2 linked regions of the Oryctolagus cuniculus genome follow. The main gene of each other region encodes a partner of the protein of the gene in region 2 in a complex. Links are inferred from orthologs where the notes say so. Each region holds a gene or a part of one and is shown on either strand. Other genes may lie near its edges.

The links. Proteins that work in one complex are often made in the same cells at the same time.
Region 1: the proteins of SNRNP200 (region 2) and C1H9orf78 are in contact, whole or in part, in a cryo-EM structure (PDB 7OS2), measured with the Homo sapiens proteins. The link is inferred for Oryctolagus cuniculus from reciprocal best matches to the Homo sapiens genes SNRNP200 and C9orf78. Residues at the interface, in NP_054733.2 of Homo sapiens: Val1188, His1189, Leu1190, Gln1191, Glu1201, Pro1283, Ser1285, Arg1287, His1288, Leu1289, Asp1729, His1730, Asn1769, Tyr1770, Asn1772, Gln1774, Gly1775, His1780, His1784, Leu1788, Gln1791, Asp1795, Gln1798, Ser1799, Tyr1826, Thr1827, Glu1830, Leu1831, Met1834, Ser1835; in NP_057604.1 of Homo sapiens: Arg5, Lys6, Ile7, Phe8, Arg9, Arg10, Arg11, Glu16, Ser17, Glu19, Glu21, Asp23, Ser24, Glu25, Val27, Arg28, Lys30, Leu31, Thr34, Arg35, Val37, Gln38, Arg41, Arg43, Pro44, Asn45, Gly46, Val47, Ser48, Ala49.

Annotation. Positions count from the first base shown.
Region 1 is NC_091432.1:232,670,273-232,674,339, forward strand, and holds the start of C1H9orf78 (splicing factor C9orf78 homolog), read right to left. Parts: upstream 2,808-4,067; 5' UTR 2,695-2,807; coding exon 2,612-2,694; intron 2,355-2,611; coding exon 2,295-2,354; intron 1,047-2,294; coding exon 995-1,046; intron 903-994; coding exon 832-902; intron 172-831; coding exon 94-171; intron 1-93. UniProt on the Homo sapiens protein: Plays a role in pre-mRNA splicing by promoting usage of the upstream 3'-splice site at alternative NAGNAG splice sites; these are sites featuring alternative acceptor motifs separated by only a few nucleotides. May also modulate exon inclusion events.
Region 2 is NC_091433.1:111,300,518-111,304,025, reverse strand, and holds part of SNRNP200 (U5 small nuclear ribonucleoprotein 200 kDa helicase), read right to left. Parts: intron 3,466-3,508; coding exon 3,287-3,465; intron 3,105-3,286; coding exon 2,953-3,104; intron 2,125-2,952; coding exon 2,016-2,124; intron 387-2,015; coding exon 278-386; intron 1-277. UniProt on the Homo sapiens protein: Catalyzes the ATP-dependent unwinding of U4/U6 RNA duplices, an essential step in the assembly of a catalytically active spliceosome. Plays a role in pre-mRNA splicing as a core component of precatalytic, catalytic and postcatalytic spliceosomal complexes.

The sequences.
Region 1 (4,067 bases), on a different chromosome or scaffold from region 2:
CAAGCCCGAGAGGCGGGAGGAGGGGCAACTTCGGTGTCTTCCAGGAAAATTCTAGAAATGCCAGCTCCGAGGGCGCGGCCAGGAGACACCTACATGTCCGCGTCCTCGTCCCTGCGGTTGGTTTCTGCGGAGAACGACGTCCCCAGGTGGAGGTCTTCCTCCTCGCTGATCCTGCAAGCGGGGACAGAGCCGAGTGGGCGGAGCCGCCGTCACCCTGGGCGGGGCGTGTGTGCGTGTGTGCGTGGGTGTGTGTGTGTGTGTGCGCTGCGCAGTGAGGAAGGCCGAGCACAGGAGACGCCCTGCTCAGGGCCGGAGAAAGCAGACGCTGCGGGATGGCGGGACACGCGGAGGAGCCCAGGACGCCCGGCAGGAGACCAGGGCCTCCGGCGCCCCCGTGGGGAATGAGCGGTGGTCCTTAAGCTTGTGAACTATCTGAGAGCACTCTTAGACCCCCAGGGGTCGAGAGACCACGGGCACAGGGGCACCCCCGCCCCCGCCGAGCTCGCTGCCAGTCGGTGTCGTTTCTGCCCGGTCCCAAGGGCCCGCGTGGTGACAGGCCATCCCAGGGTCAGGTACTGAGGCCGGCGGTGCTCAGAGGGGGCGCCCACGAGCGCGCCCTGGTGAGGCTGGGAGGACAGAGAAGCAGAGGCCACACGCCCAGCCACTGCCTGTCTCTTCCACCTCAGGCCACCGCCAGACGCGGCTGAGAAACCAGGGCTGTGGGCTGGGTGAGCCTCTCTCCTGCAGAAGCGGCCCCGTCACGCGGAACGGCCGGGCGCACGCGTGGAGCTGGGCGCAGGCCGAGGGGCCGCCCCGCCCGCCCGCACTTACTTCTCTTTGCCCCTCTCCTTCAGCTTCTTCATGTCCACCATGCCGCCCGTCTTCATCTGGAACGGGTCGTCCTGCGGGGAGCAGACGGCGCAGGGAGGCAGCTGCACACGCGGCGGGGCTTCCGGCCACGGAACAGCGGCCACGCGGAGGACCCCATACTTACCACCAGCGTGGTCTCTTCTTGTACCTTCTCTCCCACCAGCAGGGCGGCAGCACTGAGCAGAACCAGAGAGGAGAGAGGACTCGCACACCCCGAGACCACTCAGGCACACTCAGGCCTGAAGGTGCGACGTCACTTTAGGGCGGCATTTGAGAGGCAGACACCAGAGCCAGCGGAAGACCCCAGGACCGAGCCAGGGCTCACGAGCACTGTGGGTGCTGGGGAGGGGGTGCTGAGTGAGGTGGACACCAGCGGACACCACCCTGGCCTGGCGATCTCATTTTCAAGATTTTGCCGAAAGGGACTCTGCAGGTGAGCTGGAGACAAGTGTAAGAGAATAATACTGCGGCTCTACGGCTGGTGCACATTTACACGGCCTACGTGTCCCAGAGGAGGAGAGCTGCTGACAGACTACAGTCTGTACATCTGCTGGGATGTTAAACATCCCTCAAAAAGGTTTTCTGGGGTCGGTGCAGTGGGTTAACGCCCTGGCCTGAAGCACTGGCTTCCCACATGGGCGCTGGTTCGAGTCCCGGCTGCTCCACTTCCGATCCAGCTCCCTGCTAGTGCAACTGGGAAAGCAGTAGAAGATGCCCAAGCCCTTGGGCCCCTGTACCCGCGTGGGAGACCTGGAAGAAGCTCCTGGCTCCTGGCTTCAGCTCAGCCCCAGCTGTTGCAGCCATGTGGGGAGTGAACCAGCGATGGAAGATCTCTCTCTCTGTAACTCTGCCTTTAAATCAATAAATCTTTTTTGTTTTAAAAGATTCATTTGTTTATTTGAAAGAGTTACAGAGAGAGGTAGAGACAGAGAGAGAGAGAGAGGGGGAAAGAGGGAGAGAGGGAAAGAGGGAGAGAGGGAAAGAGGGGGAGAGACAGAGAGAGAGGTCTTCCATCCACTGGTTCACTCCCCAGATGGCCGCAACGGCTGGAGCTGCGCCGAGCTGAAGCCAGGAGCCAGGAGCTTCCTCCAGGTCTCCCACGCGGGTGCAGGGGCCCAAGCACTTGGGCCATCTTCCACCGCTTTCCCAGGCCACAGCAGAGAGCTGGATCAGAAGTGGAGCAGCCAGGACTCGAACCGGAGTCCCGGCTGGCGCTGTGGCGCAGCAGGTTAAAGCCGCCGCCCGCACTGCCGGCATCCCATATTCACCGGGGGCAGTTGCTGGCGTGCGGTAGCTTTGGGACACAGCCCCGGGCTACAGGGCTCAGGGCACGTCCCGGCTAAGCGTCGCGGCCGGGAACGCGGGTCCCTGGCCGGCAGTGTCCGTCACCCTTGCCCCGTCCTCCTCGCGTCCGCAGGACCCACCTCACGCCGTTGGGCCTCTTCCTCAAGTTCTGCACCTCTCGGGTCTCCTCCAGTTTTAATCTGGAAAAACAAAAAACCACGCACAGGCTGAGTCTGCTGCCGAGGCCGGAGGGCGACCCGGCGCCTGGGCCCACCGCAGTCAGCTCCTCCACGCGCCCGCTCGCAGCTGCCCGGCCCTGGGGCTCCTACCTCACCCCCAGGCGCCTCAATTTCTCCGTCCACAACCCCAATTCTCAAGCGTCCGCGCTGGGCCTGGCCGGCGGTCAGTCCCCCAAGCACATTGCTCCGGGTCTGCACGAGCCCCGCCCCCAACGCACCGAACCTCCTCTGAGTCCTGCTCATCTTCTTCCGACTCCGAGTCGGCCCGGCGCCGCCGGAAAGTCTTCCCGGTGACTGGCATAGCGGCAGCCGGGCCGGCGGTCCCGGCGCCCCGCCGCTGGACAGTGGCAGGGGGCCGCTTCCGGCGCGCCGCAGTGATGTCAGAGCGCCGGCCCCTCTGGCCCCGCCCCCAACCAGCAGGTCCCGCCCTCGACCAGCACCGCCCCCGCGTGACCACGCCCCCCCCGTGGCGCCGGCCTCGCCCGATTGGACGGCTGTGGGGGAGGAGGCGGGGCGCGGCCGAGCGGACTGCACGACCCTGCGCAGCGCGGCGGAGGGCTCGCTTGACTGACAGGCGGCGGCGGGGGCTGTGGCGGCGGCAGGTGAGTTCCGGGCCGCCGCAGGCTGCTTCAGGGGGGCCGGGCCTTTCTCCTGAGGAGCGACCCCAGCTGGCCCCGCTCCGGGCGGTCGGGGCCTGGTCGGGCCAGCGGCGCCGCACGCCGCGGCCAGGTGAGCGGAGCCCGTGGCCTCCTCCTCGGCGCCGCCGCCACTTTTGGCTTTCGCGGCCGGCGCCCGTGAGGGGCCTCTGGGGTGCCGGCGCCCCGCTTGCAGGCCGGGACGGAGGCCGGCCTCCGGGTTGCTTTCTGACGCGGCGTTGGAGGCTTGCGCGTGGCGTTCGGGGCTCTGTGGCTTTGGTTTCCCGGGGGCCCTGACGTGCGTTTTTCTCTTGCGGGACAAAAGATGACCGCTGCTCGGCGGTGGCGGGTTACAGCCCCAGCGCCGACCCCGAGGGCCGCGGGAGCTCGCGGGCTGGGTCGCCCCTCCAGCGCCCCGCCCCGGAGAGGTGCCGGGAGCGTACACTGGACGTGCGACGCGGGGCTCCTGCAGCGCCCGGCCGTGGCGCAGGTCCGAGTGTCCGTGTCGTCTCCAGGGGCCGGCCGGGCCCGTGCTGTCGGGAGACGGCCCTCGGGTTGTGTGGCTTGCTACGTGGCAGGCGCCTTGGAGGCTCTCAGAACCCTGCGAAATGCGTGCAGCCGCTTTGCGCTTTGCAGTGCGGATACTGAAGGTGGAGCCGGGCCGGCGGGCCCAGCGCGGCTATCCGGGCTGCCCAGCCGAGGGCGGGGCCTGCGGAGGCTGGGCTGGGCTCCCGCGCCGGGACCAGGGCAGTGCCTCGCCGGTCCCTCTGATGGGTGCTGCTGCTCCTGGCCATGGGGCCGCCAGGAGCCTCGGCACTGCTTGGCACAGCCCCTTGGTGTCTGCAAAGCCTCAGAAGCCTGCCTGGGGCGCACTGGCTCAGCCAGGCCCAGATGCACACGGCGCGCGCCGGACGCGTGGGTGTGCTGTGGGCACCCAGCCAGTGCCGTCTGCAGCTGCCCGATCGGGGCCCTCCCACCAAGGTGGACTCGCGGGCCCCCTTCCCACCCCACTCCAGGAGAGCCCGGCGACACCCAGCGG
Region 2 (3,508 bases):
TTTGTAGACACACGAGTAATAAAAAAAAAAAAAACAAGAGAAACATGTCCAAAATGTGGCATTGCTGGCTATAATCTACAGCAGGAACGGGACACACTAAGTCACATGGGCAGAACAGTAAGCAGTGTGTGAGGAAAGATGGCGCCATCCAGTGGGCAAAGACTTCAACAGAGAGTGGCAACAGCAATAGCAAATTAAAAGGCAGCGGAGCTCCATGTGGCTTAGTGGCTTATGAGAGAATCCATGTGAAGGTGGTGTCACCCAGGCCAGCACTGACCTTTTTGGAGCCCTGACACATGATAACACAGCGGCCCTCATCGTCCTGCAGAGGGCGGTTGGCGTGGCCCACCATCTGAAGCACGTCATATATGGGGTAATCCACGTAGCTGTGATGGGGAGAGCAAGAGATGCATCACCAGGGGGACTCCTCAGAAGCCTGCCTGCCTTCCACATCAAAGTGCAAACATGGGGACATGTGGTCAAATATAGCAAGACTCTTTATGAACTTTTTATGGATGAAATTAGTTTCATTTGATATTTCAGTTTTTAAGTGTAAGGGTCATGTATTTGTTGCTTGAACCAAAGCTACAAACCTATCTAATGTCAAAAAGCAAAATATGGGGCTGGCACTGTGGCGTAACAGGTAAGGTTGCTGCCTGCAGCGTCGGCATCCCAAATGGGCACCGGTTTGAGTCCCAGCTACTCCACTTCCAATCCAGCTCTCTGCTAATGTGCCTGGGAAAGCAGCTGCAGATGGCCCAAGTGCTTGGGCCCCGGCACCCACTTGGGAGACCTGGAAGAAGCTCCGCTTTGGATCAGCTCAGATCTAACCACTGTAGCCACTTGGGGAATGAACTAGTGGATGGAAGATCTGTCTTTCCCTCTCTGTAACTCCACCTTTCAAAAGAAATCTTAAAAAAAAAAAAAAAAAAAAAAAAGAAGCAAAATATTTCCCCACTGAAGGATCAAATGTGCAAGTCAAGGTTTCCAAACACAATAGCTGTGTACTTTCTGAGTTATCAAGCTACCTGACTTAAACCCAAACCTAGCAGCAGATTCAGGCATTAAAAATGAAGCCATAAAATAAAATAATCTGTATCTTAAGGAAAAGATTAAATTATTCATTTTCTAAGAAAGACTGGACTTTCTACTTGCCACTACACAGGGTGTGGGCATGACCAAGTCTATGAAGTCTTCCTAACCTATAAAACAGATTAACAACATAACCTGTAGCATTCCTCCTGGCTTGCTATGCTCTGAGTAAGATCTGCCTATCCAACTCACACAGATGTTTAATCCCCAAAGTTGTAAACCTTCCTCTGTACACCCTTCATGCCCATCAGATGCCAGACCAAAGGAGATGCCCAATCTTGGTCTGTGAACCTCCAAAACTGTTAAATAAAATTAACTTCCTGGGGTCAGTGCTGTGGCATTGTGGGTTAAGCCTCTGCCTGTGGCACCAGCATCCCAAATGGGTGCCGGTTCAAGTCCTGGCTACTGCATTTCTGATCCAGCTCCCTACTAATGGTCTGGTAAAGCAGTGAGAGATGGCCCAAGTGCTTGGGCCCCTGCACCCATGTGGGAGACCCCGAAGAAGCTCCTGACTTCAGATAGGCCCAGCTCCAGCCCTTGTGGCCATTTGGGGAGTAAACCAGCAGATAGAAGACCTCTCTATCTGTAACTCTGCTTCTTAAGTAAATAAATAAATCTTAAAAAAAAATTAACTTCCTTCATAAGCAGATTCTCTCAGGTAAGACACAGCTAATCAAATGCATAAAGCTAATACATGGCTCTAACTTCCTGGTTCTCCCACACGCTGAAATATGAAAATAACTAAAAACCAAATGTGCAACTAGTTCCAAGACAAAATCCTCACAGCACATGGCTGCGGTAGAATTTCAGCTGCGTATTTATTTCCCTTATACTTTTTCTTCATAGTATCTTCATTTCTGCGTCTGCAGACTAAGTTCACTTCAGGAGGGAAGTTTGTTAATGCAGAGCCCAACCATACTCACGCATGGATCTTGCCATTGTAGTACTGGGTGTCCATGATGATCACCAGGTGGGCAGCCACACTCATGCCCCAGCAGAGACTCCGAGAAGCCACCACCACCTGGATAGCCCCTGAGCAGCAGAGGGAAAAGAAGACTCAAGGCAGGGCTCTCTGGACAAATCAGGATCTCTGTCTCATGCACAGGCAGCTGTTTCAGAACTCAGAGCTAGGCTGGTGGGGATTGAGGTCTGACATGACTCAGAGACCTAACAGCGCTACATGAAAGGTAACCCTGCTACTGCTGCCTTGCTCCAAGGACCATCCCAGAGGAAATGAGGCTATCCTGGAACAGAATCCAAAGGCTAGGGAAAGCAAGGCTTATACTACAGTGGCAAGGACTGGCCCCGTCAGTGGCAAGTACTAACACCAACTCAGCCACAGGCTAGCTCAGCAAAAGGAAGCAAAATCGAACTAACCATGAGCATGCCCCAAGCTAGACAGGCTCAAGTGTGGAAGAGGGACAGTGATTCTGGCAGGGCCACTGCAGGTCCACCAGGCAGTATCAAAGTGGCACCACTCTGAAACGCCATAGGTAAACAAGGGACAGTGACCAAGAGACCGCTGAAGGGACAATCAGAGCTCTACTGCATATTAATGTCTGAGATCCACCCACCTTAGGGAGTCAGGTATCCATGGAAAACCATGTAGTGCTGAAAGTCTTAGACTTTAACACCTTAGATGTGCCTGTTTCCTCATCTAAAGAGTAGGGATATTTGTACCCCCTATACCACAAGGTTCTTGAGAGGATCAAATAAGGTGATGGAATAATCCCAACAGTACTTCAAAAACGAGTGTGCTGTGGGAAAACATCACCCACACCCTGAAGTCTGACACATGCCAATTGGTAGGAGCCTTGGACACGATCTCACTCCACACCATGAGGTGTTTTTTTTTTTTACCTGAACTGAAGAGCTGTTCCACCAAGCGTCGCTCCATGGGGCTGAGCCCTTCATGCAGGTAGCCCACCCCGTTTAGCAGTGTTTCCTTGAGTGTGCTGTCACTTAGCTTCTCCAGGTATGGGATCAGATCCTTCTCCGTGCAGTGCAAAAACCTGAGTGACGTAAGCACTGACTCAGCTCAGAGTGGCTCGGTTCTGAGGCAGATAGCTACCAGCCAAGCAGCCCTAGCCCCAAATCTGATGGGGCTACCGCCGACCCTTATCAACAGAGCACCCTTCAGGGTGGGCCAACTTCCCTCACCCTCACCCTCACCCTCCCCCAGGCCCGGGCCCACCTCTGCCGTTGGATGTCTGCTGCACATGTGGTGAGGATGTCGATTGCAGTGAGGCGGGTCTGCTTGCGTGATGGGACAAAGACAATGACAGGCTTCTTGGGGGAGTGCTTGGTGATAGCGTGGTACACAGGCTTGGCCATGGACAGCAGGCGAGTCTGTGTGTGGCTGATGTTGAAGCCCTGGAGACCAAGGAAGAAACAACACACACAGGCTCCCAAACCT